Caenorhabditis elegans: one gene and its partner. The protein of the gene in region 1 interacts with the protein of each later gene in a pairwise test. Each region holds a gene or a part of one and is shown in the gene's direction. Other genes may lie near its edges.

Region 1 (5,152 bases):
GAATGAGGAGAAGGATGAGGATAAGATTGTATTGTGATAAACATTCCATCCGAAAGGATATTATAGGTCTACCGATTGTTTCCGAAGGATTTATTCAGAAAAAGATTGAAATCTGAAGAGGATTTTGTCTTGGTTGGAACTAATGTGTAAAGGTGACAAAAATAATTACTATTTAAAATTATAATTTTTCAAGGCGGAAAATAAAAATTATATGTAGTTAGATTTGAGTAAACTAAGGAATTCGTAACGACAATGGTGTTAATACCTGCCGAGATTTGTGATCCTTACCTGTTAAATTCTGAAAAACGACTATTCATAATTAATATATTTACCTCCACGTGTAAAATAGCAAAGACTTGAAATTATTGTCAAATCATTAAAACTGCCATATGAAACGTAAATTAGTAAGCGAATAACGGGTTAAAAAATCAACAACAAATATCATCAGCATGCTCAAATTGGATAGACTTGGTTTTGCAGAAAAATTGGCATGCAACACTATTAGAAACTACAGTAAAAATTTTTGAACGATGAGTAAGCGTGTAATAATAGAAAATATAATCTAGCCGTAAAATCATTGCAATAAGTTTTTTTTTTCCAAAAAAAAATTCACGTAGTTCTTATATTTGAAATCTGCGAAGTAAACTTTTCATTTCACAATTGGAACAGATTTTGGTGAGTACTTTAATTCTCCTTATTGTAGAATGTTTCCATTTTAGATTTTTCAATTGTAAATTTATTCAAAGGTTTTGTATTCTCAAGCATTCGATTATGCAATTTGGATATTTTTTCGAATTAGAGTAAGTCTTCAAAAACTAATTTAAAAATATCATAAAATTGCCCATTTAAAGGTACACAAAATTGGCCAGCGTTTTGTTATTTTTTCTTTCCGCCGTATTCACGATTTCATTGTGTTCAAAAAAGAAAAAAAGGTCAAAGGAAACTCTAAGCAGATCGCCGGCAACTAGCCCTGTACTATCGCAAAAATCGAATTTGGAACGAAATCTTTCATTATCACCAGCGAAATCACCATGTTCTCAGAGTCCACCTGACCACGAAAAAAACTCCTTCTCCTAAATCGCCAAAAGAAAAGACCGATGAGGATAAAGTGCTTAGATCATCAAGAGAAAAGGTCTGAATATAATTTTTAATTGAGAAAACATTTTATTTTGCCAGATCGAAAGAGAACTTCAAGTTATGTCAACCCAGCCTTCTCATCCGTCCTCTTCAAATGATCTTGATTCTTCAATTGGAACTGCTGTAAGAAAGTTTAAAAATTTTATGACAAATCTCCCAATAAATTATTTCAGAGAATTGAAGTGGTTTCGGTTCCCGTCAAGCCGAGAAACAAATTTTCAACCACGCCGGTTAAGCGTGTTGAAATGAAGAAGAGCAAAGAGTCAGATTCAGTCGATAAAGCTCTGAAAGTGAAGTCTAGCCTGGATTGCATGAAATTGGAAAAACCTGCACCGACTACTTGTGAAATGAAGGCTGCATGAAAATGAACTTTTTTCTTTTCAAGATTAGTGAAATGAAAGTTTTAGTATTTCATATCTGATTTTATAATTAAAATAAACTTAATTTTTACAAAGAAAACACAGCGAGACAATCACAATAAATTCGATTCTGAGTTTGAAACTTTGGTGAGTAGATATGATTTTGATAAACAAAAACGAAAAATAAAGTATTTCAAAATTTTTATAGTTTTGTAATGCAATGTTGCCAGTAGTGAGCATAATTTTAAAAATTCATGACTTATATTTCTGGCTATTGCCGGTTTCTGGTGGCAATCGTCGATTATCGATCTTTTTCAAACATGATTTAAAGAAAATTCCGAAATTTCGTAAAATACTTAGTTTTTAACGATCTTGTCTACAAACTTTTTGTTAGCATAAAGTCAGATCAACGTTAATTTTTTGAAACCATTTTTGTAGGATAATTAATGTATTTTTGCGTGGTTTTCTTTGTTTCGAATAATGTTTTCTTGTGACTCCTGTTTTCATTCTGATATAATTCACCTGCACAATTCATATGAAACAAGTTCCTTTTACCCTTGATCACAAACAGCAGTACATATGCCGGTCTTTCAATGATCAGATCGCCCTCAAAACGTGTGACAGATGCTTTCAATTCGTGGAATCCAACTGTATTTTCACCTGTTCACTCCCTCTTGGTATGTTCGGTTTACGTAACTTTTTCATGTTTTTCCGCTTTTCGACTCGAAAATATTTTTCGCACGGTACCACTTTCATTTCTATTTTTCCATTCATTTTTTGAATACAACACATAAAGTGTCATTGTAATGCAAATTCATGTGAAAAATGACACCCTTTTCGGACGCCGCCAGTTGAATTTTAGAGCAAAAATGAAAATGAGTGGAGCAGTTTGAAAATATTTCGGGAAATTTTTATTACCTTTAAGACCGAACTAATCGTCATTTTACCGTTTTTACTCTCAAAAGAGCGATAATGGGTGAATTGTATTATTTACGACCCAGCTGTAAATAGATAAGAAACAGTGAACCCATCGTTGTAGACGCGTAAAAGTTTTTGTCTATGGCTATATCTTATACCGTATGCCAGTTACCTACCATAAATCTATTAATTTCTTTTTCACCTTCCTAGCGAATTGTTATCTTTCGATCCAGGTTTATGGTTATTAATTGCTGAATCAAAAATGATACGATAACCTATTTGGCACCTATTTTGTATGGTTTTTTGTGAAGCATTTCATTTGTTTCTTTTTCTCTTTGTCATGTAAGAAGAATGTTAGTCCAAAAACATATTTCCCTAGTTTTTAAATGGTCAAGTTCACAAAGCTCAAATCTTGTTTCGGAAAATATTTTCATCTCGTTTTCATTTTCAAAGGATTATGTCTCTCAATATCCTGAAAATTAGTTTTGGAGAATCCTTTACTATGATTGACAAGTAATCCTTATTTTACAGCGACTCAGGTGTTATTGCTTGTATAGAGGCTCACTGGGTTTTCTGAGTGTTTATAGTTGAATTCAATTGCAGTTTGTCCCACAACGTTTAGGAAAAAGTTATAATAGTAATAATTAGCTTCTTCTCACTGTTTTCACAGAAATTTCCTTCATTTGCTCGAGAAACCATCGCATTTGTTCAAGAGTGTCACCCATTTCTTTGTTTGTAAACTCTTTATTTTCCCTCACTCTCCTTCTGATTGCTTCCAAAAAGATAATCGGATTAACAGGTGTCTGATTACAGTCACTCGTCTACTTTGTCCACTGTATAAAATGACCGTATGCATTGTGATCTCAAGAAGGCACTACCACTCGAAATGTCACTAATACCCACTACTCAAGTACCACTTGTCCTACACCTTGATACAAAAGTTCCAAGAACTTCTCAGTATCCATTGACTTCGGTCCTTTTTCGGGAAGATGTCTTTCAGATGAAGGATATTCATTTTGTTTCTTCGCTTTTGACCTTTCCCATTGTATTTTGTGTATTAGTTTTTAAAATTCTTTCCTATAACTTTTCAAAAAAAAATTTTGGACATTTTTCCTCAAAGTGCACAAATATCTAGAATCGAATTTTCCACGCACTTTTAATTTAAAAAAAAACTTTAGAAAATCTAGCAAAATTGTAAGAAAAAGGACATGTGAGTTTAACTTTTTTGAATAGTTGTTCTGGAATCTTTTTGTGGGTTTACACTATTTTTTGAATGTTTAAAGTGCTTTCAAAAATACTGTTTGAAAAAAACATAAACGTATTAGCAGTTGCCCCGACACTTAAAAATATCCAAATTATTTTTTTTTCAATTCCTTTTTGAAATTTATGTCAGTTTCTATTATTGCTTTACTTAATCAAAATCTTACAAAACTATTTTGAATTGATATATCTTGCAAGAAGCCTTTGTATAAATTAACAAAAAGCTCTTATTAACTAAAACCTTATGAATCAACCTGGACAATACTCTTGGTGGTCCCTATAATTTCGACCACCTGCTGATGCTGTTCCTGCAACTGCTCATCATTTGTTCCTTTTTCCTCACCCACTTTTCCATTAAATATCATCTTCCAGAGGACTCCCCACCGCGAGTTATGCATTCTCCCTTGATCTCAAATTTCCGTTTTATTTTCCTTTTGTTTATGTCAAGTCTTCTCTGTTATCAACTGACTATAAAGAGTGGGAGTATAGATTCTAGAATCTCAATAATTGAGGAAACCCTGGGGAAGGATCCCATGCTTTAATAAAGTAATTTGTTAGCCATCCGCTGTAAATATTATTCAGACTGATCACAAGGAAATTATAAAGCAATCATATGTTTGTGACGAGTTGGTGACGTCGAAAGATATTGTATACTTCTTTCAAATGAGTAGAAACAAATTTATATCCGCTAATTTTTTAAAGACTACAGTTAGGTCATTTTGATTTAAACGCACCAAGAAGTGTATTCAGAATTTTCGATGAAATCGTGGAGATTTGATAAAAAAGGTTATATTATGAATTTTCGTTTATTTCTTTTATTTATTATTCATTAATGTTATAACCATTAGAACAACAAGATAACTTGAAAATTCAAATATGATTGTCATCTAACCCCCCACTTTGTGAAAGCAACATTTTTTTCTCTTCGTTCAAGTTTTCGACAAGTTCTTCAACATGTACATTTGGATTGAGCACGCGTGCCTTGGAGCCTGATTGACTGTCATAAATTATACGGAAAGGTGAGAGTAGATTAGGACAGTCGTTACACACTGCTTTTCCGACGATGCAATTCAATTTTATTGCTTTGATTGGCTCCCAGGCTTCTAGAATTAGATTAGTTGGTGCCCAGTGGTAGTGGTGGTGATAAAACTTTTGGAATGGACTCAAGAATTATGTGTTTTTTCTTTAAATTTTTCCCCTGGAGACTCTCAATACTAGAAGAAAAACTGGAGCAAAAGAGGAAGTAATATGGGAATATTTTGTGGATTTCACTTTGAGACATTTATTATTTTACCCTAATTGTCTACGCTACTAAATCAAATAGTATCACAGACAGGTATTACTGTTCGAAGAGCTAAAAAAAGATCAGTAGAGATCTTTATTTTCTAGAAAGAGAGAGAGAGAGAGACCATATTTCAACAGCTGCATTTTGAAAAGTTTTACTTAAACTTACATCAATTACCAATTCGGAGAGCTTC
Region 2 (4,918 bases), on another chromosome or scaffold:
TTAAATGTTTTACTATATTTAGGGTTAAGTTACGCTAAAGTTTCCAGATGCTTATATTCTAGATCTTTTGAACCCTTTTCGTTTGACTTTTTCAGATATAGTTCATAACTCCAATTTTCCAAACTCGCTACCTCTTTTCTCATTTTTCACCAGGCATCCCCCGGTGGTTCAATTTCCTTTCCTTTCATTTCTTTTTTGTCTTATGCTTCAATGTATTCATTACTTTTCCCTCTTTTTCTCGTCATTTGATTAATGAACTTCCTACTGTAACTCATTCTATCTCGTTTCTGTTTGCACTAGATTGGAAGACCAAAAAAAATCAAAATGAGGAATTGTCGAACATCAATTTGTAAAAGAGAGAAGATCCCTACACTTCTTCAACCTATTTTTTCTTGATTCGTGTACCTACAAATGAGTAATTGGATGCCATTCATTCCACACTTCTTGATGCTTCCTGACACTCATAAATCACTGTAAAAGAGACAGGAAATAGACTTGAGTCAATTGCATAATCACTTACTAATCATTTACTCACTTTTTTTTTTTATTTATTACCACAGTGTTATGCAATTCTTATCTCCTTATCTATACTGTGAGAGGTGTGAGGATATTGGATCATTTATAGATTGAGAAAACTGATAATGAAATAAAAAATGTGATGTGTTTGGGTTATTTCCTTTTATAGTACATTATCATGTGTTGTGGCTCTGAGAATTTGTAATTCTCTATGTACTGTTAATTTGAAAATTTTATTTTAATCAAAAAATTAAAAAAGACTTTCAAAGTTAACAAAAGTAACACATTTTAAGTTTTATAAATAGTTTAAATATCTCTGTTTGCATGTTTACAGTAGGGAACTTCTAGAACTTTATTCTTTCATTTTGTAAGAGGCGTTGGAATCAATTCAGTTGCAGTTGGCATTTCTGAAACCTCAAGTTTCGGGAACTTTTACTTTTAAGAACAAGGTGAGGCACTGCTGGAAATCTCGAAGCAATTTCAGATGCCTTGCAAAATCTTGAAAACATATTAAGCGTATGCTTCAGTTGTAGACTTTTATATTTAGGTATCTTGACAATTCCAAAAAATAGTGTTTGGTGTCGACCAAGTATTGATAACATTTAATTTAGCTAGAAATAGCTAGAAGCTTAAATTTTTAGAAAATCTGATCAATGACCTAGAAAAACTTCAACGTTTTTCAAAATTCCCATAACGCCGTTTTAAAATTTCACAGAAATTCGTCTTTTGGTCATTTGAACTTTTTGTGCATACCAGGCATTTGGCTCAAAAAGCGGACTATCAGATGTTGGCAAAAGTTGGTAAGAGCTTTGACAATACTTGTCTTAGACTATGTTGTCGAAACCTTGCTCAATTTCTGCTCAAGTTTTAGCCCAAAGCCGAGATACTCTCCCTTTTTGCCATTTTTCCAATTTTCATGTAACAATTCCATATCTATAAAATCAGAGAGTTCATAAAATTGAGCACATTTCGACTGACTCTTGACAACTTGTCCAATGGGAAAAAGTTGGTCAAGATTTTGTTCCTAAAAGCGGCAACTTAAAAGCGAAAATTCATTCTGCTCAACTCTTCTACTCTTGGAGCCCAAAAGCTTACGGTACCTGTCGTTCTCACCCCATGTCCATCCAGCGCTGTCAGTGATGAATTGAAAAGGCGAGAGCAAGAGATGTGCTCTCGGCTCCACGAACCTCTTTGATCTATGCCGACAGTGGGGGAGATTGGAGAAGAAGCATGCTCCACCCTTCACGTGTATCAGTACGTCTGCGTCTTCTTGTGCGTGCCGCCCGGATTAGAAGACATGAAGTGGGAGGGCGATAGAGGAAATTCCGATGGCAATACCAACAATAGAATTTTGGCAACATTTTTTTACGACCTTCTAGAATTAAGGTAAATCTCTCTTTTTTTAAATCCACTCCTGGCACAAAGCTTCTCAAAGTTCTAAATGAAACTGGAACTTAACTTTAAATAAGTTGAACCTAGAGGTCACCTGAAAAAGTTATAGGAAAATTCTCTACTATTTAAAACGTAGTCTTTAAATTTTGCAAGTTATGTACTTCAAATATCAATTTTCCACCTTTGTGGCAGAAAACGTTTAAAATCTAGTTTATTTCGGAACCCTCTTATATTTTCGCAAAGTTATCGACTAAATTTCAGTATTTGAAACATTTTTAGATACTCGGCTTTGGCTTCTGCTGTTTTTTTTTTGTTGTAGGAATTTATTCAAATTACCTGCGTTCCGAAAAAACATTTTATGTTGCATTATTGGAGAATATACCATTGAAAAATTGAAAACATATCTGGAAGAAATGAGCCCAGATTAGATGTTGCACTTTATGAGGCGTTGCGAAGGCGCCTTTTTACCGTGTTCCCGTTATTCTGCCGATCATTTAAATAAATTGAATCTCACCCTCGTTTAATTTGTGAATCATAGAAGAAAACAAAATGTAATCTTACTTTAAAAAAGCTATTATCACAACTTTAAATTATCCAACTTAAAAGCTTCATTGTCAGGTGTGTGCGACAAATCTACCGAAATTGCTGAGTTCGTCAAATTTCGAGGATTGCCCACAGCCTCAATATTTCTGAAATTTCATTTTGTAATCAGTAGTCACATAAATATTCAAGACATGGAGAATGTGTGGAATAGTGTTAGGTAACATTTCAGAGCTTAGGCCTACAGAGAAAACACATAAAGACTTCTAGTCCATACTTCTTCTTGACCTCATAGATTGCTTACTAGTTTATATAAAGCTATTTAGAGCAATTATCCAATCTTATAAGGTAAAACCCGCGGGTCTTAAACCATGACCACCCACTTGAGCACACCCACAAAAACAATTCGTCTCTCGCAGATTGCTCCTCAATTTATCACCATCATCTTTTCTCTCTCCATTTCCAACTCTTTACTTTTCTTCTCTTTTTGTTCTGTTTCCGTTCTTAAGCTTTTGTTGTTTTCCTAGTTTTAATGATTTCCTAAGGATTAGGTACAAGTAGTTGATAGGTTGATCTAATTCCTTTTGATGAATGCAGTAATTAAAAAAAACAAGGTTCTTAAATTAAAATTTAAAATCTATCAAACGGTAATTATTGCTAATTCGTGTTCTGAAATTTATTGGTTTCAATTATATGTGCCCAGGAATTTTAATAAATTTTAAAGCTCTGATCACCTGTAAAAGAAATTGATGGTTGCTGAAAGTTCTTCAAAATTTTAAGAACTGAATCATCGTATTTAACTTTTGTGTTGAAAATTTGGGCTCTTGGGAGATATTGATCCGGTCATTGATTGCGATTGTACACGTATCTCTGAATTCTAGACTAGCAGCACAAATTGTTAGTTTTCTTGCTCTCACTACAATTGTTCAAATTTAAATACCTATTCTACTAGTTATTCGGTTTTTGAAGATATGTAGACTTTAGGAATATCTGAATGATCTACTTCAATGAAAAAAATTTGATCTCTTTTTTTAACTACTGCATTCATCTCTATCGTCCTCTTATTCTATTCCCTCATCCCTTCCGCTTTCTGAGACTCCACCCTTCGTCCAATAGGAGAAATGGGCGGGATCGGGGAAGGATGGCGCCCGGTATTCTGTCTCTTTTGCAATGGAAGAAAAGAGGAGAAAGAGGGAGACGTCACATTTTTAACAAATGTTCAACCGCCCCGACGCGCCTCTCGTCCTCATTTATTATATCACCTCGTTTCCCCTCCCTCCCCTCATCTTTTCATCTCTTTTCAATCAATTCTTATCAATCACTTTCACTCGTTTTCACTCCAGATGACCACATCAACATCACCGTCATCCACAGATGCACCGAGAGCTACAGCTCCTGAATCAAGCTCTTCGTCTTCATCCTCATCTTCTTCATCATCATCCACATCTTCTGTGGGTGCATCTGGAATTCCATCATCTTCTGAATTATCGAGTACAATTGGATATGATCCAATGACAGCGTCTGCTGCACTTTCTGCTCATTTTGGAAGTTATTATGATCCGACTAGTTCTTCTCAAATTGCTTCATATTTTGCCTCAAGTCAAGGACTGGGAGGTCCTCAATATCCAATACTCGGAGATCAGGTTAGTTACGAAACTTTAAAGGTAATTTTTAAAACAGTATTATATTTAAAAAAAAAACACTACAAATTTAAGTAGATGAAATGATATTTTAGAAAAGTTCAGCAATTTCGAATTTCGTAATCTTTTTAAGTTCTCTGAACGTCACCATACTTTAAGCAAGAGTTGGAGCGTTATAGTTAGGAAGCTCCTCTATTGGCAAAAATTAAATTTGTGTAAAATTTTAATAACTAAAATAGTGTGTGATTCGGGATAATTAAAATAAAGGAATGCTCACAGATTTATAGAAAGTCACAATTTTTTATTTGCCGCACTTTTGACAACCTTCAAATAATTCTAGTTTCTGCAAAGCGCTGAGACCGATTTGGTTAACTTTTGCTAATCGAATTTAATTTCTGAAAACAAACCATTTTGAAAAATAAACAGGTGCTCAGAGACAATTAGTTCTTGAAACATTTCGGGTCCATGTGGAATTTAAATTTCTTGAAAGTTTTTTTTTATTTCATCTGTTTTTTTTTAATTCAAAAGTTCTAACACCCTTTTGGCGCCTCCCACTGGTTTGAAACTTCTGTCATTTCCCGCCAAAAATTGAAAATCAATCAATTCCTCAGCGTTTCTGAAAATAATCTGACAACGCGATCAATTTTATTTTCTCTTTTGAAGTGAGTGGACTGGCGCCTGGTGACTACCATTGGAAGAGTAGGAATTGAAATAAAATTTATGAGAACGAGTTACAAAATGGAGAATAAGAGGAAGAAGAGTATTCAGATTGAGATTAATGATCGTTCCATCGATTTTTGTACTTTTTTAGATTCACAATTGGAAGCTGC

The links.
Region 2: the proteins of K10D6.4 (region 1) and lin-39 interact in a two-hybrid assay, tested with the Caenorhabditis elegans proteins (3 studies listed by BioGRID).

What each region holds. Positions count from the first base shown.
Region 1 is NC_003283.11:11,199,894-11,205,045, forward strand, and holds the start of K10D6.4 (Maelstrom domain-containing protein), read left to right. Parts: upstream 1-2,031; coding exon 2,032-2,173; intron 2,174-2,387; exon of another isoform or gene 2,388-2,527; intron 2,528-4,598; exon of another isoform or gene 4,599-4,777; intron 4,778-5,127; exon of another isoform or gene 5,128-5,152. Other genes in the region: K10D6.3 (TPX2 domain-containing protein), read left to right, coding at 772-800, 1,042-1,132, 1,177-1,260, 1,311-1,499.
Region 2 is NC_003281.10:7,533,574-7,538,491, reverse strand, and holds the start of lin-39 (Homeobox protein lin-39), read left to right. Parts: upstream 1-1,859; 5' UTR 1,860-1,902; intron 1,903-3,791; coding exon 3,792-4,091; intron 4,092-4,918. UniProt on the Caenorhabditis elegans protein: Transcription factor.